3 linked regions of the Callithrix jacchus genome follow. The protein of the gene in region 2 interacts with the protein of the main gene of each other region in a biochemical or structural test. Links are inferred from orthologs where the notes say so. Each region holds a gene or a part of one and is shown on either strand. Other genes may lie near its edges.

What was found. The genes of interacting proteins can lie anywhere in the genome.
Region 1: the proteins of NR0B2 (region 2) and HNF4A form a complex in vitro, tested with the Homo sapiens proteins (4 studies listed by BioGRID). The link is inferred for Callithrix jacchus from reciprocal best matches to the Homo sapiens genes NR0B2 and HNF4A.
Region 3: the proteins of NR0B2 (region 2) and EID1 form a complex in vitro, tested with the Homo sapiens proteins (3 studies listed by BioGRID). The link is inferred for Callithrix jacchus from reciprocal best matches to the Homo sapiens genes NR0B2 and EID1.

The regions. Positions count from the first base shown.
Region 1 is NC_133506.1:39,747,648-39,755,231, reverse strand, and holds the start of HNF4A (hepatocyte nuclear factor 4-alpha), read right to left. Parts: upstream 4,980-7,584; 5' UTR 4,844-4,979; coding exon 4,729-4,843; intron 1-4,728. UniProt on the Homo sapiens protein: Transcriptional regulator which controls the expression of hepatic genes during the transition of endodermal cells to hepatic progenitor cells, facilitating the recruitment of RNA pol II to the promoters of target genes. Activates the transcription of CYP2C38.
Region 2 is NC_133508.1:63,563,560-63,571,133, forward strand, and holds NR0B2 (nuclear receptor subfamily 0 group B member 2), read right to left. Parts: upstream 4,390-7,574; 5' UTR 4,353-4,389; coding exon 3,821-4,352; intron 2,085-3,820; coding exon 1,843-2,084; 3' UTR 1,517-1,842; downstream 1-1,516. UniProt on the Homo sapiens protein: Transcriptional regulator that acts as a negative regulator of receptor-dependent signaling pathways. Specifically inhibits transactivation of the nuclear receptor with which it interacts.
Region 3 is NC_133509.1:36,623,835-36,630,687, forward strand, and holds EID1 (EP300-interacting inhibitor of differentiation 1), read left to right. Parts: upstream 1-2,442; 5' UTR 2,443-2,527; coding exon 2,528-3,103; 3' UTR 3,104-4,174; downstream 4,175-6,853. UniProt on the Homo sapiens protein: Interacts with RB1 and EP300 and acts as a repressor of MYOD1 transactivation. Inhibits EP300 and CBP histone acetyltransferase activity.

The DNA.
Region 1 (7,584 bases), on a different chromosome or scaffold from region 2:
AGAAGGAAGTGAGGCTTCAGGAAGAACAGAAAGGCAGACATCTAAGGGAGCCCTGCGGGGATCTCTCCAGGGCTTCGGCCTCAGCCATATCAGGGGGCTGTTCCCACTCCATCGCCTCCCTGCTTAGTGACCTCCTGACTTTTGGAGCTTCAGTTTCACATCTGTAAATTGGGGCTGGTGGTGACTTCACAGAGCTGATTCTGAGGGTGTGCATCTCCCTGTGGTGGAGGCCACGAGCCCCAGCTGTCTCTAGGCAGGCATGAAAATCTGGCCACCTTCCAGGGTGAGAGCCTGCTCCTAACTGGGGAGGGGGCTGCGGAAGGGAGAAACATTCTCCCCAGAACCAGGTCCTGTCCCTCAGTTCTCACCCAGTGACCACTAAGGCTGGGTGGATCTCAGCTGCGTGCCCAGGGGCCCCGCAAATTCTCTGGGGAACAGGAAAGACTTGGGCCAAGAACAGTCACTCATGTGGCCTCCTGGGAGGGTCTGGACATGGCTCCCGTCCCTCTCATCTCCCAGGTAAAAGCTACTGCATCTACACAAATGTGAGGGGGGCCATAGAGGCAGGTGGCAAAGAGGATCTCGGGCTGGGTTCCAGGACTCCTGGGCACTAGTGCTGATGCTGCCACTAACTTGCCTGTAAACTTGGGCAACTTCTCCTTGCTTCAATTTCTTCTAGGCCTCAGTTTCTCTAACCATAAAAGGGAGCAGTTTGACTGGTCTGTTTCCAAAATTAAAAAAATAGCAGCTGAACCCCCGTTTTGTCAGCAAATCTTTCACCAAAGATAGACCCCTTTGGAGAAGATAACAAATGCAATGGGTCAGCCCCTGGGAAAATGCAAGTGTGTGTGCCACACATGCCACACACAAGCACACACACACACCATACAGTCCACACACATGCACACAGACACACACCACACACTCACATACACATGCACGTACACACACGAACACACACCACAGTCCACACACACGCCACATACACACATGCCACACACAAACACACACACACCATACAGTCCACACACATGCACACAGACACACGCCACAGTCACATACACATGCACGCACACAAACACTACAGTCCACATACACCACAGTCCACACACACACACCACAGTCCACACATATGCACACACACACACACCACACAGTCACATACACATGCACACACACACACACACCACACAGTCACATACACGTGCACACACACAAACACATACCACAGTCCACATACATCACACAGTCCACACACACATGCACCACACAATCCACACATATGCTCACAGACACACACCACAGTCACATACACACACGCACACGAACATACACCACAGTCCACATACACTACACAGTCCACACACAACCACACACCATAGAGTCCACATGCACATGCACACACACAGGTGCACATATGCGCACACACACACAGGTACATATACCACAGTTCACACACATGAAGACACACACCACATACCACACACACACCACAGAGTCCACACACAACCATACACATGCACACACCCATACAGTCCACACACACATGAACATACACATTCACACACATGTACACACGTGCACACAGACACAGTCTACACATGCACACACAGCACACACATGAACATACAACATACACATATCAACACATGTACACACATATACATACATGCACATACTCCACACACATATACGCACATGCACACCTATGCACAGACACATACACACATGCACACACACACACACACACACACACGTGTATTCATAGAAATCCTAAATCGGACCTTGTATTCCTCAGGGTCATCCAGTTAAGACCTGGAGAGGGCCACGCGCTGTAGGTAACAGCATAGCCCCTGAAGGCCTTCTGCCCAGGGTTCAATCCCAGCCTGCCCACTTTTTAGCCATGTGACGTTGGCTGTGTTCATTTACTTCTCTATGCCTTTGTATCCTCACTTGTAAAATGGGAAACATGACATTCTCCCAGGTTTGTTATGGGGATTTGGTGAATTCTCATATGTGTATGTGAAGTGCTTACCACATGGTAAGCACTATATTAGTGTTTGTGAAATAAAAACTTTTCTGCAGAAGAAAACTCTCAGAGCAGAGGACTTCCAGGCTCCGTGCACAAGCAGGCACTGGTGCGTCTCATTTCTGCCATCGCAGACTCCCGGGTGTCCCCAGGAGTGCGGCCCCCCTCCACTTGGTGAATTATTCCTGGAGATGGCGATAATTGTTAAGCCGCATGGGTGCCCTTTCTCCCTCAGCCTCTCCTCCCCCGACCCCAGGGAGAGCTGACCCCACAGCTCCTGGCTGTTCAGCAGGAGGCTGGGGAAGGAGCGCCCACCTCAGGGACAGAATGGGCTGGGGGCTGTCAGCTCTATCAACTCCCCTCTGAGGTCAGCCGAGCACCTCCATTCCACAGATGAGGACACTGAGACTTAGAGAGGACAAGTGGCTTCCTGGTGTCACACTGCTTGCAGTGAAGCCGAGGCATGGGCTTATGGTCCAGGTGTGCTGGGCTACTCCAGCCAGAGCCACATGTGTTGAGGTGTCTGCTGGGGCCTCTAATGAACAAGGAGCCCCGGGGCTGCTGCTGCATTGGGGTAGGGAGTGGATGGGGAGAAATATCCTTTGAACATTTGAACTACTAGCCCAGGATGTACCCAAAACACTTTGGAGGACAACGTCACATAACCCCAATTCAGAACACTTCAAACTCCAGCAAGGAATACTGGGGACCCTGCTTAAGATGCTCAGAGCCCTTGAGATGACCCATGTTGGGGCCAGGACCCTTTACCAGGGTCAGCACCCAGGCACCTTATCTTTATCCTCTGGCCAGCCCTGGCAGACAGACACTATTACGGCTTCCCATCTTATAGATGAGGAAACTGAGACTCAGAGAGGAAACTGCCTTGCCACGTTCACACAGGTTGGAAGGATCCATGCCTGATTTGAGTCCAGATCTTTCTGGTTCCAGAGCTGGAGGTGGTCTTGTCTTTGGGGCACCCAGTTCAGGGGCTTGGCCTCTGCCTCAGGAGCACACAGTTCCCAGGCTTTGAAAAAGTGATGGGGGCGGGGAGCAGCCAGGGTAGGGCAGTGACCCTCCTGGGGACACACTGCACTCTGCCTCGTGTGGCAGCAACTTGTTTAGCATCTCCAGGGCATTTTCGCCTTGAGCTCCTCGAGTGGTCCTCAGACAGGGCTAAACAACTGGCCAGCCACCAGGCCTGGGGGAATGAAGCCTGTTTTGTAGAAGATACAGAAGCCAGGAGAGGGGAGGTGACATGCCCAAGGTCACACAGTAACTGGACTGCAGGGGCAGTCGAACACTTGCTGAGCTGACCACAGGCAGTGCCCAGCAGCTGCCTCCTCACTCTAGCAAAGCTGACCACAAGCTTCCAGGCCTCAGCGGGAACTGCAGGCTGATACTGGCTGTGTGGCTCCAAGACACAGAAGGAAGAGGGGTGGCAGGCTGACCTCAGCTAGCTGCCTGCCCCCTCTCCTCTGAGGCTGGCCTGGGACCTGATGGGGCCCTTCCCTCCAGGAGGGGTTTCCAGACACCCTCCTTTCCCCTACCTCCCTGTGGAGGAGAACGGCCCATCCCTCCAGATATGCTCCAGTGATGTCAGAGTGGAAACATGAATCTGGAGAGACACGCCGGCAACAAAATCTGCTCAGAGATTAACAGACACGTTGCTGATGTGAAGCTCACTTGGTGAACGGCAACAACAGAATCCTGCACTTGGGTCTGGCATTCATGCACACTAGAGACCGCTGACCTCACCTGAGGTACAGGGGGCTGCATATGCACACAGCAGGTACAAATATGGGCACACGACAAAACGCCCACACAGGATAAGCATGCAGGAAGAACAGCACTCCAACAGGTCTGCATGCACAAACACATGTCCTGTATGACCCCCACACAGCACACATATACAAACATCCACAGACACACGTACACCCAGTCACTTACATGCACAAGCAAGATCGACACGGGCACCTCCTAGAGACACAAACACAGACCCACTCAATAAATACAAAGGGAAATAGGCACAGAACTCACACACAGAGACAAATGAACACACATATGCAAATGTGTTCCTGGAGGCATCACCCCACCCATACAACTTACACGGAAACTCATGATCACACACGAACACACACACAACACAACACACACAGTGCTGAGCTGGATTTTAGTTAGCAAAACTTCCCTGAGAACCCCATTTTCCCTAAGTGCCAATTCCCCTAGGGAAGTCCCAAAGACACCGAGAAATGCAGATATATGTCTCCAACCACCATCCTCCAGGGACACAATGCCCCTTGCCATCTCTCTGAACCTAGGCCTGAGGGGTTCAAGAAGGGGCTGTGCCAGGCTGAATTGCTGGAGCTGGGCACCGAAAGGGACCTCACCATCACGTCAGTGTGCCAAACTCCAAGCAGAGCCGCTGCAAGACAGTGGGGACCGGAAGGGCCTGGGAGGAACAGCTGGGGTTGACTTCTGCTGGAAATTGGCCCTTGCAGGCCTCCCTTCACCCGGAATGCCTGTGATCACTGTACCTGGGCACACCGGCTTCACCTGGCAATACCTGTGCTAGCCTGTAGGACCAACCTACTATTTTCTATCATTCTCCTCCCACCCCAAAGTTGAGTACCAAAGATTCGCTCCTGTACCCAGGCATACCTGCCCCACTGGCACACCTGGGCACACCTGCCCCCACCTACCATTGCCCATCGTCAACACCTGCACATTCTCAAATTCCAGGGTTGTGTAGGCTGGGTCCAGTGCAGCACTGTAGTCGGCCATGTCCATGTCGACGAGGGTTTTGGAGAGGCGCATTCTCCCCTGCCTCCACGCCACAGCCACCTGCCCTGCCCTGGGCGCCCACCCCGAAGGCTGAGCCCCAGCCCCCGCCCTCCGCCCTCCCACTGCCTCCTCCCAGTGCCCTCTCTGCCTTTCTTTCAAACCGTCCTCTGGGAAGATCTGCTGGGAGTCTAGGCCTAGCCTCTGCGGAGGGGTGGAGGCTCTGCCAGGGAGGGGTGGGGGTTAATGGTTAATCGGTCCCCCGCCGGTAAATAGGCTGGGCGGGGCTGCAGGGATTTGGCTGTTTGTTGGTTTCTGGCTGACACCCGGAGTGCTAATTACAACTGTTGGGGCCCTAACTCACCGATACTCAGTTATCAATTGTACAAGGCAGGCATCGTAACTCACGGTCACTCATTTGACCCTTGACTCAGCCGCCCCTCCAAGCCATTGTCATCCTAAGTCGGACATTCTAACTGATACTATCAGGCACTGACAGCCTCCCTCCGAGATCCCCTCATTCAATAACTTCCCAAATCATTGACTTCTACCCTCAATGCTCTTGTAGAGATAAGGCTGCCCCATGGCCCATGATTTAGAAACCTAAATCCCAGGCCTCAGATGTCAATCTTCTGGATCCTTGTTCTGGGAGCTCCCTTCAGTTCCCCTGCAGTTTCCTGGGAGCAGAATGGACTGGAAGGCTGGGAGGGCCAGACTCACCTCCAATTCCCCAATCCTGCTCCCTAGGACCCCACCCTGTGCCCCACCATCTCCCACAGCTCCTGGAGTTTCTGGCCCAGACAGACTCCATCTCAGATTTTCCCTTCATGTTCTCCTGTTTCCCTCACTCTCACCCCCTCCCAGAGCAGAGAGAGACCTGGATTTACATTCAGGCATCTACCATCTGCTAAGTGGGACCTTGGGTAAATGATTCTCCTCTCTGAGCCTCAGTTTCCTTCTCTGTAAAATGTACAATCAACCTCAAAGAGTGGTTTGAGAAAGAAATGAGACGGCATAAAAAACACCAAGTGGGACCTGGCAGACATCCATCCTCTTCCTCCTCCCTCTCCCTGTTCTGTATCCCCCTTTCCATCCCTCTGTTTCTCTCCACCTGCCTCCTATCTTCAAAGTGGGCTTTGTGGGGGGATCGCCAGAGCAGTCACAGGCAGCCCAACCCTTAGAGAGTCCTGGTGCCGGGTTTGGTGCTCTGCTGTGGTTGTCTGAAAATTCATCATCACTTTTGAACAAGGGGTTTGATTTTTGTTTTGGACGAGGTCCTGCAAATTACACAGCTGGTCCTGCCTGTCGAAGCTCATGGTACACTCTGTTCTTCTCATTCCTCCAGCCCTCATTGCATTCTGTGCAGACACTTTCAAGAGCTGCTAATCTACCTGGAAGTAAAGTCTCGATGTAGAGGGCAGAGGAAGGAATGCCTGAGACCTGGGAGCCTGTCCTCTGCTACTGGCTGCAAGGGCAGGTTGGAGGGACTCGGTGACACCTGTGAGCAAGAGTGAGTGAATGAGTGAGAGCACCAGTTAATGAGTGAGTGGGGGGTTGGGAAATTAATGAGTGGATGAATTAGAAGCGAGTGAATTCGAGACAAGGTGAATTAATGAGTAAGTTGAGTGAATACATGAATTGAGTGAGTGAATGAATGAATGAGAGTAAATTACTGAGTATGTGAATGAGTGAATCGGTGGGTGAATGAATGAGTGAATGAGCAAATGGGTAGGTGAATTAATGAGTGGGTGAATTAGTGAGTGAATGAATGATTGAATGTATGGGTGAATTAATCAGTTAGCAAATCGGGAGTCAGGGCATGTGTGTTTGACAGGTATGAGGAGGCATCCTCTCCATTCTTCCCACTGCTGGAAGCCCTTTCTCTGCCCTGCTTGGCTTTATTCTCCCCACTTGATTTGACCTCTGAAGCTGAAATGATGTAGGGGGCTGTGTGCTGTTTCCTACAGGGAAAGGGGAGAGGGAGCAACTGTTCTGGAGGAGAAGAGAGGCTAGATTTGGTGCCAGGAGACCTGGGTTTAGGAACTAGCTCAGTCACTATTCCAATAGATTTATTTACATCTATCTCTTCTCAGGGCCTCAATTTCTCCCTCTGTAAAATGGAAAGATGACCCTGGCTTAGTTTTCTACTGGCCAGGAGAAGGCTTTGAGGGAGGGAGCAAGAGGAGCCCCAACAACCCACACTTTGAGATTTTATAAGGGGCTGAAAGAGACCAAATGCTGGTGGGTTTCTCCCATGCCTACCTCAGGAATATCTGATCTGGCTCCACCGGCCTTGGGGGAAGTGCAGCAGTGGGCAGAAAGGGAAGATCTGACTAAGGGATCAACACAGAAGAGAAGTGGAGGGCAGCTCCGGGAGGAGCCTCCAGGAGCCCAGCCCAGGTCCCTGCCACCTGCCTGGCACCTATGGCAGGCCACAGGCAGAGCTACTGCCCACACAACCCAGTAATACATGGCCTCATCCACTCTGAGGCACACTTCCACATTGCTTAAAGAGAAATGTGAGGCTGGGTGTGGTGGCTCATGCCTGTAATCTCAGCAGTTTGGGAGGCCGAGGCAGGCAGATCACCTGAGGTCAGGAGTTTGAAACCAGTCTGACCAACATGGAGAAACCCCATCTCTACTAAAAATACAAAATTAGGCGTGGTGACCCATGCCTATAATCCCAGTGACTCAGGAGGCTGAGGCAAGAGAATCACTTGAACCTGGGAGGCGGAGGTTGCGGCGAGCCGAGATAGAGCCATTGCACTCCAGCATGG
Region 2 (7,574 bases):
GAGGTCTCAGTTGTGTTGTTTGTATTTGTGTGGGATCTCAGCTGTGTTTTTGTCTCTATCTGGTGTCTGACTTGTGAATGAGAGGCTGGGTAAGGGACAGGGTTCCCCTTGCTGGTGGCACTGGGTCACCATAATGGGTACAAGGCCAGTCAGCTGTAGTCCTAACCTGGGGGACTTAGAGAAAGGCCAGAATGATGACTCCTAGACTGTTATCCCCAAGTGAATGGCCTCTTCTTGAGCAATAATTAACTTGGCCCCTGTAAGAAGAATCCAAACTGTGGTGGTGAAGCAGGTGGGACTGGTCAGGGCAGGACTTACTGCCGGTGAAAGGAGGAGGCCGGAAAATCCTATAGGCATGTGTGTTGTTATCACTCCTTCCTGCCCACCCTTCAGGTTACTCACCCTGACCTGAGACTGGGTCAAAATATTTAACAAACATTGAGACACAGACATTGACCAATCAGAACAGACACAAGTCATACTCTGAATGGAGCAGTCAAGGAGGTCATGGCTGTGCCAAGAGTTGCCTCTCTAGGCCCGGTGTGATGGCTTACATCTGTAATCCCAGCACTTTGGGAGGCCAAGGCAGGCGGATCATGAGGTCAGGAGATCGAGACCATACTGGGTAACACAGTGAAACCCCATCTCTACTAAAAATACAAAAAACTAGCCAGACGTGATAGAGTGCCCCTGTAGTGCCAGCTACTCCGGAGGTTGGGGTAGGGGAATTGCTTGAACCAGGTGGGTGGAGGTTGCAATGAGTTGACATTATGCCACTGCACTCTAGCCTGGGCGACAGAGCAAGACTTGGTCTTAAAAAAAAAAAAAAAAAAAAGAGTTGCCTCTCTAATTGCTAGACAGTGGAAATGTCTGGGAGGAGGATCCCAGAGGGGTGGGGCAGAGGGGAAGGGAAGGAAACTTGGGTGGCCTCAGGGCAGTGGCTATGAACCAAGTGTCTTGGAAGGGTTTCAGACTTTAACAACTGATGTAGCCATACCCTGGTGGTCCAGCTAAACCTTGGTCTGCCTTGACCCTCAAGCAGTTGCTGGGCCAGCCCTGGTACCCTTGTCCTTTCATGTTGGGAGAATAATGGACCACCTTCTTTTGTCATCTGCAGGAATGGGGGAAGTGAATGATCTCAAACTGCAAAAATTGCAGTGACCTTGTCTGTTTCAATTTGGGAATGGGCTGCTTCCTGATTGGCTGAGACTGGGCTTTCACTGTGGTGAGAGGGAGCCAGGGGAGGGGTTAGTGAAGGGTTTGGGAACAGGAGAGTAACCTTCTCCTGAGGATAAAGGCAAGGAGGTGATGGGATTGTGAATACTGCTCCCCGGACTCAGACCCAGATGCCAAATAAATCTCATCTCCAGAAACGAAATTACCATACCACCCTGCAAGATTAGCTCTAGCACCCCTGTGGATTTTTTTCCACTGGCTACCTCTAATAGGGGCAGGGTGGGCCCTGGAGGTGAGACAGTCCCTTCTGTCTGCACAAACAACAGTATCAGGCTGCAAGTGCTTCATACTTTTTATTACAAAAATCAATAACTTAATTCAGTTCTGTATAAAGTTGGTAGGACTTCTGGTCCAATGAGCAGCCTAAGCTTTCATTCCCATCCCAAGAAAGGACAGGAGTCTCGGCCCAGAAGCTGTGGGGACCACCAAGAGCCTGCCAGGCAGCTGGAGCACTGTGTCCAAATGAAGGAAGTCCAATGTGGGGTGTGGCTGGCTGTCTATACAGCCTTGCCCCCTCCAGGAGCACTGGGTCACCTCTGGGGATGTCCAGGCTGAATCAGCACTACCAGCCTCTGCCCTCCTGATCTCCGCCTGGGCTGGAGCAGGTCACCTCAGCAAAAGCATGTCCCCAAGAAGGCCAGCGATGTCAACATCTCCAATGATAGGGCGAAAGAAGAGGTCCTCAAGCAGGCTGGTTGGAATGGACTTGAGGGTGGAGGCCATGAGGAGGACACGGGCCAGACGGCCTTGGGCTGCTGGGCACCAGGGCTCCAGGACATCATATAGCGCCCAGTGAGCCTCCTGCTGCAGGTGCTCAATGTGGGAGGAGGCGTGGAGGCCTGGCAAATCTGTGGGCAGAGAGGGAGAAGAGGACTGGTGAGTAACCTATTCCCAGCCACCAAAGGACAAGACTGGCCCCAGATCTGAGCCATCAGAGACACCCCTCTGCCTCCTCTGCTCGGCCTTTGAGGTCTGTCGTGTGAATGTGTCAGGATCTGCAGTACATTGCTGAGTGACTGTATCTAGGCAGTGCTTTTCTGGGCTGTGAGTGGGTGGATAGAGAGTCTTTTAATTTTTATTATTTTATTTTTAATTTTATATATATGTATTTTTTATAGAGAGCATCATTATCATTTCTTTTTCTAAGTATTTGTTATCATTTCTTTCTCTATTTCTTTCTCTCAGACTTCTCTAAGATAGAGAGTCTGTTTCATGGGTCCGTGTACATGTGCCTGAGTTGTACATCTTAGTGTGTGTGGGGGTGGGGGTCCGAGTTGTGTGGTTTGTATTTGTGTCTCAGCTGTGTTTCTGTCTCTATCTGGTGTCTGACTTGTGAGTGAGAGACTGGGTAAGGGAGAGGGTTCCCCTTGCTGCTGGCACTGGGTCACAATAATGGGTACAAGGCCAATCAGCTATAGTTCTAACCTGGGGGGTTTAGAGAATGGCCTGAATGATAACTCCTAGACTATTATCCCCAAGTGAATGGCCTCTTCTTGAGCAATAATTAACTTGGCCCCTGTGAGAAGAATCCAAACTGTGGTGGTGAAGGGGGTGGGGCTGGTCTGGTCAGGGCAGGATTTACTGCCTCCTGTGGAGGAGGTAATTTATTTATTTTCATTTTAGTTATCCATTTATTTATGAAGAGGCAGCATGGAATAATGGTTAAGAATCAGACTTCTGGCTGGGCATGGTGGCTCACGCCTGTAATCCCAGCACTTTGGGAGACCGAGGTGGACGAATCACTTGAGGTCGGGAGTTTGAGACCAGCCTGATCAACATAGAGAAACCCTGTCTCTACTAAAAATACAAAATTAGCTGGGTCTGGTGGCGCACGCCTGTAATCCCAGCTACTTGGGAGGCTGAGGCAGAAGAATTGCTTGAACCTGGGAGGTGGAGATTGTGGTGAGCTGAGACTGGTCCACTGCACTTCAGCCTGAGCAACAGAGTGAGACTCTGTCTCAAAAAACGGTTAGAGCAAGTTTCTCAGGCAGAGTGACAAGGGCCAGTCTCTGGAGTGACTAGACCTGAGTTGCCATCCTAGTCTGTCCCTACCTGGCTGTGTAACCTTCAGCTAGTCACTTAGCTTTTCTGTGCCTCTTCTGTGAGATGGCTATTTGATGAAAATGAGGACCAAGCCAGGTAGGGTGGCTCACACCTGTAATCCCAACACTTTGGGAGGCTGAGGCGGGTAGATCACCTGAGGGGTCAGGAGTTTAAGACCAGCTTGAGCAACATGTCAAAACCCCATATCAACTAAAAAATACAAAAATTAGCCAGGCATGGTGGTGGACGCCTGTAAATCCCAGCTACTCAGGAGGCTGAGGCAGAGGTTGCAGTGAGCCAAGATCATGCCACGGCACTCCAGCCTGGGCAACAGAGTGAGACTCTGTCTCAGAAAAAGAAAGAAGGAAGGAAGGAAGGAAGGAAGGAAGGAAGGAAGGAAGGAAGGAAGGAAGGAAGGAAGGAAGGAAATGAGGACCCAATGAGATAACAAATATCAAATCCTTAGAAGTTAAAAGTTACTTCCCTGGCTGGCCCCTGCTTCAGCCTTGGTCCCCCACCCCAGAAGTGCCTGGGAGCTCACCAGGGTTGAAGAGGATGGTCCCTTTTAGGCAGGCATATTCCTTGGGGCTCAGCTCCAGGCTCCAGAAGGATTCCAGACAGCATTGAAGCCACTGCACGGCAGCCAGCGAGGGCTGGGGTCTGTCCGGCAGCTGGCCACTGCCCCCACTGCTGCTGGGATCCTCCAGCAGAATCTTCTTAAGTATACTGGGCACCGGGGCCTCAGCCACCTCAAAGGTCACAGCGTCTTGGGCCAACCCAAGCAGAAAGAGGGGGCCCCAGCCACCCTGCAGCAGCTGCCGCTTGTCCTGGGGAGGCAGCTGGCAGAAGGATGGCAGGTTCCTGAGGAAGGCCACTGTCTTGGCCAGAACATCCAAGGCCTCCCGGCAGGTGCGATAAGGCGCACATAGCTGGACAGGCCGGTGCTGCCTACACAGGCAGCTACTACGGGGCTGGGGGACAGCCCTGAGGCTGGAGCTCAGAAGTGTGTAGAGAATAGCTGGGCGGCTTGCAGCTCCCTGGCATGGGCAGGCCCCTGGCTGGCTGGTGCTCATGGTTGGGGATCTGCTCTTACTTCCAGCTCTCTGATCCTCTGTTCTGTGCTGTAGGTGCTATTTATATTCCCAGTGAGTGGAAAAGGAGGAATGGCCTGACAACCTTGACTCCAGAAGTCATGTTCATTGAAAAAAACACACAGACACTGCCCCTGGCAGGACTGGTGGGGAAGTGGTGGGGGAGGGGTTTGGGAACCCCACGTGGCGCTGATATCATTTCAGTCAATGAAGTGGCCGGTGCAGGGCACAGGGCTACCTGCCGCTCACTCAGCTGCTGATTATCGGATGACTCAAGTGGATAAACAAGGTCATTAACCCAGGCTGTACCAGGGCACCAAGGCCCCAGGTGCACAATCAGCAGGTGTCCCCATTGGTGGCCGCTCCTGTGTGTACAAAAGATCAGGGCTTTCACTAAGCCAGGAAGCCAGCCCCAGAGCTGGGTGAGCCTTGAATGCAAGGCCCAACCTGGAAGTCCCTTATCACTAGCTTGTTTGCCTAACCTTGGGGCCCTGCTTCTGTTGTCGGCCAGGAGCAGGCTGCAGGGAAGGGAGCCAGGACCCTGAGGGGCTGGGAGGACTTTGCCCGCTTTCCAGTCTAGGAGGCCCCCTTCCTCTGATTCCAGTTCTGGGCCCCATGCAGGAACCCCTATACCCAACCTGATTACTACCACTCCTATATATTTTTTTGAGACGGAGTTTCGGTCTTGTTGCCCAGGCTGGAGTGCAATGGCACGATCTCGGCTCACCGCAACCTCCACCTCCTGGGTTCAAGCGATTCTCCTGCCTCAGCCTCCTGAGTAGCTGGGATTACAGGCATGCACCACCTCGCCTGGCTGATCTTTTGTATTTTTAGTAGAGATGGGGTTTCTCCATGTTGGTCAGGCTGGTCTGGAGCTTCCGACCTCAGGTGATCCACCCACCTCAGCCTCCCAAAGTGCTGGGATTACAGGCGTGAGCCACTGCACCTGGCCTGATTCCTACCACTCCTGAAAGGGCAGATCTGCAGAGAAGAATTTACAGAATTATAATTAAAGATGGTAGCTGGCTGGACATGGTGGCTCATGCCTGTAATCCCAGCACTTTGAGAGGCTGGGGTGGGCAGATCACCTGAGGTCAGGAGTTTGAGACCAGCCTGACCAACATGGCAGGATCCCGTCTCTACTAAAAATACAAAAATTAGCTGGGCATGGAGGCTCGTGCCTGTAGTCACAGCTACTCCAGAGGCTAAGGCAAAAGAATCACTCAAACCCGGGAGGCGGAGGCTGCAGTGAACTGAGATCATGACACTGCACTCTAGCCTGGGTGACAGAGCAAGACCCTGTCTCAAAAAAAAAAAAAAAAAAAAAAAAATATATATATATATATATATGGTTGCCATTCACTGAGCAGCTATTATGTGTCAAGTCCTTCCCACTCTAATATTGGGAGCTTCCCCCTAAGGCTAGATTCTTACTTTGTGAGACTAAAAGAGTTTAAGTGACTTGCCCAAGGTCATCCGACCAGGAAGAGACAAAGCCCAGATCTTGCCGGACTCCAAAGTCCTTGTTTGTTCCCCTGGACCCACTGGCCCAATTGCGCAGCCAGAGCCTGAGATTCCCAGAGCTGGTGGCTAGCTGCCCCACCTTGCTGCTGCCTGCTTTGCAGATGTTGCCCACTTGTGATCTGGATGGATATGTTGCTCTGCTGCCACATGGCTCCTCTGTCCCGGGCATTTTTCTCAGAAGGTGGAGCACAAGGGATGAGAGAGGGTGGAGAGGCCCTCGGTTGTGTCATGTTCCTGGACCTTGGCCAGTTCCAGTGTGGCAAGCCTTCTGCTGCCATGCTGTTGGGCAGCCTGTTGTGCTGGATGGGGAGAAAGAGGCTCTGGCATCACCACTAAAAGATACCAGCCCTGGCATCTGCTCCAGGATCCATCACTTTTCGGTTGAGTGACTTGGGCTGATCCTCGAACCTCTGCGCCACAGGAGCCTCAATGGGACAAGAATGCCTGCCTGTAGGGCTGCCGTGGGACAAAATGAGGTCCTAGCTGTTAAATCCCAAGTAGTTTCTGACATATGGTAGGAGGATTTTTCTGCCCCTTTCCTGTTTGGAGCTGAGCACCAGTGGTCAAACAGGCACACCTCTTTCATTTAATTATTAGTCTTATTCCTTACATTTATTTTATTTTATTTTTTTAGACAAAGTCTTGCTCTGTCACCAAGGCTGGAGTGCAGTCGTGCGATCTTGGCTCACTGCAATCTCCACTCGCTGCAATCTCCGCCTCCCAGTTTCAAGCGATTCTCCTACCTCAGCCTCCCAAGCAGCTGGGACTATAGGCATGCACCACCATGCCCAGCTAATCTTTTTTGTAGTTTTAGTAGAGACGGGGCTTCACTATATTGGCTAGGCTGGTTTCGAACTCCTGATCTTGTGATCCACCTGCCTCAGCCTCCCAAAGTGCTGAGATTATATGCATGAGCCACTGTGGCTGGCCAATTTTTATATTTTTTAGTAGAGACACGTGGTTTTACCACGTTGGCCAAGCTGGTCTCAAACTCTTGACCTCAGGTAATCCACCCACCTCATCCTCCCAAAGTGGTAGGATTACAGTCGTGAGCCACTGCGCCAGGCCAATCCTTACATTTATAAACCACCTTTCATGTCTTTTAATCTCACTGAATCCTCACAGTGTCCCCTTGAAGCAGACTCTGGAATCAGGCTAGCTGGGTCCAAATCCCGCTTCTTCACTTAGCTGAGTGACCTTGGGAAAATCACTTTATCTTTCTGTGCCTCAGTTTCCTTATTTTTAAAATGGTGACAAGCATGTCTAGAGGTGGATATTGGTTTTATCAGGCCTGAAGTTTACGATTTGGAGGACCCTCTTTGAGAAAATAATACATAGTTGGGTGGGGTGGCGCACGCCTGTAATCCCAGCACTTTGGAAAGTTAGGTGAGAGGATCGCTTGAGGTTTCAGTAGTTCAACACCAGCCTGGGCAACACAGTGAGACCTCATCTCTACCAAAAAACATTAGCCAGTGTGGTGGGGCATATCTGTAGTCTCAATCACTTGAGAGGCTGAGGCAAGAGGATGGGAAACATGATGAAACCCATCTCTACAAAAAATACAAAAATGAGCCTGGCATGGTAGTGCACATCTATAGTTCCAGCTACTTGGGAGGCTGAGGTGAGAGGATCAGCTGAATCAGGACTTCAAGCCTGCAGTGAGTTACGACTGTGCCACTG
Region 3 (6,853 bases), on a different chromosome or scaffold from region 2:
GGATGTGAATGAGGATATATTATACGCACTTTTGTTGCCAACCGGTACCACGGCTGCAGAACTATTCAAGTCTTTGAATGATTACGTATCATGAAATGGAATCAGTCATTTTGTGTTGGTATATGCACAGGTAGAGCAGCTGCCATGACTGGACGGCATTCTGGTTTCACTACTCATGTCAAAGAGGCCGCTTCTGAATGTGAGTCTATGCATTGTATTCCATGGAGAAATGCTGGCTAGCCGGAAAATGTCACCCGAACTTAACAAAGTTTTGCAGTATGTGATTAAAATTATCAACTACATTATACATGCCCTTAACTCAATCTGTTTGCGCAGCTCTGTGAGGAGATGCACGCCGAGCACATGCATCTTCTCTTATACACAGAAGTGACATGGCTTTCTAAATGTACATCACTGACTGGAGTTTTTGAGTTAAGAGAGCTGCTTCAGAGCCTTCTTTTGAGAAAAACAGTCCCACTAGCAGCACATTTCATGACATCAAATGGGTCACAAAACTTGCTTACTTGTATGGCATCGTCAACCTGCTCAATGAACTCTGTCACTTCAGGAAAGAATGACAACTGTGTTCAAGTTGGCAGATAAAATGGCTGCATTTGAAGCCAAACTGGAAACACGGAGGTGACAAATGAACACTGGGATTTCTGCCATCTCAAACATTAGCAGATTTTGAAAGAGACTGAGCCAGGACCTTCTTCTCCCAGCTGGTGCATGATTACCTATCTCAGCTTTCAAAAGAGTTTGAACATTACTTCCTGTATTAGTCAGGGTTCTTTAAGGGGACAGAACTAATAGAATAGATATATACATGTATATAAAGAAGAGTTTATTAAGTATTAGCTTACACTATCATAAGGTCCCACAATAGGGACTGCAGGCTGAGGAGTGAGGAGAGCCAGTCTGAGTTCCAAAACTAAAGAACTTGGAGTCTGAGGTTCGAGGGCAGGAAGCATCCAGCATGGGAGAAAGATGTAGGCTGGGAGGCTAGGCCAGTCTCTCTTTTCACATTTTTCTGGCTGCTTATATTCTAACCAAGCTGATTAGATTGTGCCCACCCAGCTTAAGGGTGGGTCCGCATTTCCCAGCCCACTGACTCAAATGTTTACCCTCCTTTGGAAACACCCTCACAGACACACCAAGGATCAATACCTAGTATCCTTCAATCCAATCAAGTTGAATTTCAGTATTAACCATCACACTTCCCATTCACAAAAGACAGAATGGATCTGTGACCCTTTTGCGAATAATCCAGGTGAATCCACTTTGTCATGCTAGAAGAGGATCAACTGCTTGATATTGAAAATGACAGAGGCCTTAAAAGTATGTTTGAGACTTCAAATCTCTATACGTTCGATTTTTTTTTTTTCTTTTTGGTATCAGGATGACGCTGGCCTCATTCTATATGTTCTCATTTAAGTCAAGGAGGAATATCCTGAGATTGCCACAAAATTACTGAAAAGCCTGCTTCCATTTCCAACATTCTATCTTTGTGAGGCAGGGTTTTCTGCAGTAGCAGCAACCAAAACGAGATTACAGAATAGACTGGACATAAGCAACACACCTCGGGTGTCACTGTGTCTCATCACTCTCAGATGGGACTGTCCAGTTGCAGGAAAAGAAGCTCAGGGCTCGCACTGATTCTACATTATGGGGAGTTGTATAATTATTTCATTATATACTCCAATGTAATAATAATAGAAATAAAGAGAATAAACGAAATGTGCTTGAATCATGTTAGTATACATAGTCCTATAATTCATAGAGGTATACACAAAAGATTCAGCTTTTAAGTTGAAGATAGGTAAGACATGTTTTTAAAAAACACACAAAATAGTATTTTTTTCTATGAATACATAAAGATACATGTAAACGCAAATAAAAAGAATTTAAAGAATACACACCGCATTGATAATAGCGGAAAGATACCTTTCAGGAGAAAAGAAATGGAACCAAATATTTCTTCAGGCTAACTTAAAAAAAAAGTACAACGTTTCTGTTGTTTGTGAATACAACTATTGTAATGACAACACTAAAACGGCAGAATGAATTAGTTCTTAATATGCTGATCTGTGGTTATGGATGTTGTCTGATTTGGAGATGTAGATTTAGAAGTCATCAGCACATAGATAAACTGCCCAAAGGAGGAGGAAGAAAGGAGGGGAGAAGCATCAGGTGTTAAAAAAGCCACGTTAGGTTATTTAACAGTTTGCAGCATCACGAGCAGCAGGATGGTTAAGTAACACAGAAACTGTAATGCTTTTGCAAGCAGGATCCCTAGTTACGAAGCTCTAATAGGTGGAAACCCAGCTCAAAAGCGACGCTAACACCCGGGGAAAAACATTGACTGCCTCCAATCGCAGTGGAGCGCCAAGTAGGAGGCGGTACCTGACGACTACGCCTGCGCGAGTGGTTACGCAAGCTCACAGACTTTGCGCACGCGCACAGGCGCACGACCGCGCAGTTTCTATCTTGCTGAAAGCTTTTTCCGAGAGGTTGAGCGGTTTGCACAATGTCGGAAATGGCCGAGCTGTCTGAGCTGTATGAGGAGAACAGTGACCTGCAGATGGATGTGATGCCTGGCGAGGGTGACCTTCCGCAGATGGAGGTAGGCAGCGGGAGCCGGGAGCTATCCTTGCGTCCCTCCCGCAACCGGGCCCCGCCACAGCTAGAGGAGGAAGGCCCAATGGAGGAGGAGGCGGCCCAGCCAATGGCGGCGCCAGAGGGGAAGCGGAGCCTTGCTAACGGGCCCAACGCTGGGGAGCAGCCAGGCCAGGTGGCGGGCGCAGACTTCGAGAGCGAAGACGAGGGCGAGGAATTTGATGACTGGGAGGACGACTACGACTATCCGGAAGAGGAGCAGCTTAGTGGTGCCGGCTACCGAGTATCAGCAGCTCTCGAAGAAGCCAACAAGATGTTTCTGAGAACAACCAGAGCAAGAGAAGCAGCCCTGGATGGCGGGTTTCAGATGCATTATGAGAAGACCCCGTTTGATCAGTTAGCTTTCATCGAAGAGCTTTTTTCACTGATGGTTGTCAATCGTCTGACCGAAGAACTCGGCTGTGATGAGATTATTGATAGAGAGTAGTTACATGCTGTTAAAAGAGGAGGAAACTACTTGAGGAGGGACCCAACTTTCCGGTATCTTTTGGGTTCATTCCAAATAGTTCTGTGCCATTGAAAAACTTGACCTTCAAAAAAATGTGTTTTTCAGAATAGAAGACAATAGGATAGTGACTGTACAGTTGTGAAAAAAGAAGAGAATCATTAAAGAAAAAATGATGTTTAGACTGTTGAAGTCTGTTCTCAAGAATGTCCTAAAACACCAATGGCTTTGACTTTGTTATTGATCCAGATTATTTTCCTTGCATTGGGGAAAATATCTTTCATATTTGTTTTGCTGTAAAGATGGTTTTGCAAGAATAAGTCATGACCAAGACAAACCAAGACAAGAGCCCACTGATACTGATTATATGAGAAAAAAATGTATCCAACTAGGACACATATCTTTTGAGTTATTTGGACTGAAAGCTTAAGAAAACTTGGAAAATTCTATTTTGTGATCTGTTCAAGCCATAGTTATCAAAGGCTAAATTTTCAGTGTAAGATAAATGGAGTAGTCTTCATTATCCCAAAAGGATGAGCAAACTCAAATATATATCACGTGCTATATGTCTTAAGATGTGTTTCCAAAAGCATTTGAAATTTTGTTTGTACACGTATCTTGATCATTTATAAAGCCACTGTGATCTATAAATCAAGAAAATCCATTGTCAAGACCATTTTTAAAAGTCAAAAATTAAGACATCCTTAATTTAAAAGTTTCAAATCTAGACATTGTGTGTGAATGTACAAAGAAAAACCATTTCTAACGCTGTTATATACTAGAGAAATTTTGTTTTGCTTGCTGTTTTGACTTGACGGGTGAAAGACTTTAGTTGAACTTCATATTGTAAGAACTGTTAATAAAAGTTGTCAAGTAAAAAGCCCTATATCTAAAAAGACTTTATGAACAGTTATTCTATCAACTCTTAAAGGTTTTAAACCTGCCCAAAAATTACCTTGTAATCTGAAGTTTCCCTCCCTCTGTCTCCTCCTCTTAAGCTTGTTATTTGTTATGCACCAGCATTGGAGATAATAAAATTTCTTGTTCTGTGTATTTTGTTTGGTTGATCGTATTGCATACATACTTTCTCTGTATACTACTTTTTATTGTATGTATTATTGCAACCACTTGATTTAAACTTAATTAGTATTAAGGGAAAATGATCCAGCTTAAGATATCTAATTCACAAATTTGTTTCTGGAAATTAAATTTTGTAAATTAAGTTTTTACCTATAAGAATTTGCTGGTCTAGGAAAACCTGCCCTGTCAATGAGTATGTTGCTGTGGTTATCTTACTAAGATGCTGAAGTTTTAGGAGTGTAATTACATCAGAAGGCTATGCTCAGCAAAATGAGTTTATCAGCAGGTTTTATGATCAGTAAAAAGATTCCAGATGCTTCTGCTCCATTGTAGCAGTAAAGAACATATATCCAATGCAACAGGACCACTCAGAGCCTAATTTATTTTACGGTCATCTGTCTTTTGGGGAGAGGGATCTGTAAAAGATAGGAGTGTGACAAGGATGATCAAAATTGCTCAGACATTAGCTGAGTTGGGAGGGAGAGATGGTGGAAGTAAAATGTTGGTGCTTAAATTTCTTAATCCTACGATCTCTTCCACTGCTTTCTCAGCCTGTAGCAGCAGTCAGATGAGTGTAGCCAGATAATTAATTGCATGCATGATGTAAATTATCATGGGTGGGGGTATGCTAGTGCACAATAAAGTGGCTGCTTGTATTTACCTCCAGATCTTTTTCTTTACCAGGAAAATTTACCTTTACTAGGAAAGATAAACTCTTGAAAAAAAATCTGAGGTCTACTAACTAGAAGGTTGTGATTCTGTTTGTCTCTGGAACTGAGTAGGGCGCAAGAGGTGGGGTAGGAAACTCCCTGTTGCATCCGAAGGCTAATGTTGGGGAGAAAAACCTGGGCTCTGCAATTGACTCAGTTGTTTTTCTCTCTTAAAAATAGGCAGTAACCTGAGAGACAATGAAAATTGTAAGTACTTACTTGTATTTATAGAGAATAAAAAAGAGAGAGAGAGAGGGAGGGAGGAGTGTGTGAGTCATCTAAGGGAACTAGAGAAAGGAGTTCTGCAGAAATTCGAACTGGTTTTGCAATATAGGGAATTTAAAGAAGCTTTTGAGTATGCAGTGTGATTAGGGAGTTTTCCAAATTTATCCATATGTATTATAAATGTTCAGTTAAATCAGATATCCCATGTTGGCTGTCTTCAGGCCACAGATCTATTTTGATTGGTTCATGCTTATAATTTTAAGAGACCGCCATCTCAGTACAGAGATACCAGCTAAAAATCTGGATTTTTACCATTTTATTTTGAGATGGAGTCTTGCTTTGTTGCCCAGGCTGGAGTGCAGTAGCTCAATCTCAGCTTATTGCAACCGCCACCTCCCAGGTTCAAGCAATTCTGCTCAGCCTCCTGAGTAGCTGGGATTACAGGCTAGAGCCACCACACCTGGCCTCTTACTAGTTTTTAAAGTAAAGCATCTGGGAGCCTTTGACCACTAGACCTACATAGCAAAAAAAAAAAAAATCTGATTCACCTTTAGACAAGGAAGGTATTCTGTTTGCCAAGTCCCCTGGTGTTGTCTCCCCAACATAGAGGCCAGGTAGCATTTTGACATCTATCATTGGGCCTGCATCATCGTTTCTTTTTTTGTGCTTGCACAGTTTGCATTACCTACCTGGCTTCTAAATATTTGAACTTGCCTCTCCTTACAGAGACTAAAGGATGTCTCAATTTTCTGCCTGTTTTACCTTAACTCTATTACCCTTCTGAATTCAGTACCTGTTAGAGTTGTAGAAATGAGTAAAGAATTATTGAGAGTTTGAGCTGCTGAGACTCTGATATTTTTGCTTGAGACCCTAAAATACAATATTAAAGTATGTCAGTAAAGTATGTTGCTTGAATTTTAAAACAAGGAAATGCATAAAACCCTTGCAAAATTGTAATTTCCCATCCTGAAATATGGTAATGTTTTAAAATTGTAAGCATTGCATGTTTAGTATTTTCTGCCTCTGGAGGTTTATAAAATAGTTTCTGGGAGTGAATGGTTATATTCTTGATGTTCTTAGTGACCAAAGATAAGTGTGAACTATCTGATCCATAAATGCTGTCATCTATGAATATATCCATAAACTTGAACCTGTTTGTTTTCAGTCCAAAGTATATCTTAGAAGTTAAGTGGGGGTGGGGAAGGCATTAGTATTTCTTTGTATTTATTTTAGAACTTCCAGGGGTAGCATTAAGGATTTAATCCTTTTCTTGTGCTGTATCCACAAGGTCTCTCATCTTTGCTGCCTTCATTTCTTAAACATTTTAATTGCCTTTCTCATGAGACATAAAGCTTCTTGAGTTGAGGCCTCTACAGTGGCACATCTTTTCCCCATACCCCCCAGCTATTTCTCCTAGGCCTGCAGAAAAGCTCAAAATAGCTATTCAAAATCACCCCTCAGGTCTGAGATAAATGAGATCTTAACTTTGGTCCCTATTCCAGCAGTGGGCTGAATACAACCCCATTCCATGCCACCAGTGCAGAAAAGATGTGGATTACTCTCAAAGGCCTATCATAGTACTATTGTTATTGGTAATGAAAACCACCCGTTATCCTCACCTCTGTTTTGCCTGAAAGATTATGGGTGGGTAGTAATACTTTGCCCTAAAGAAGAGATACTGAAGGGGAAAGAGAGGCTGAGAGTAAACTCTGCCCCA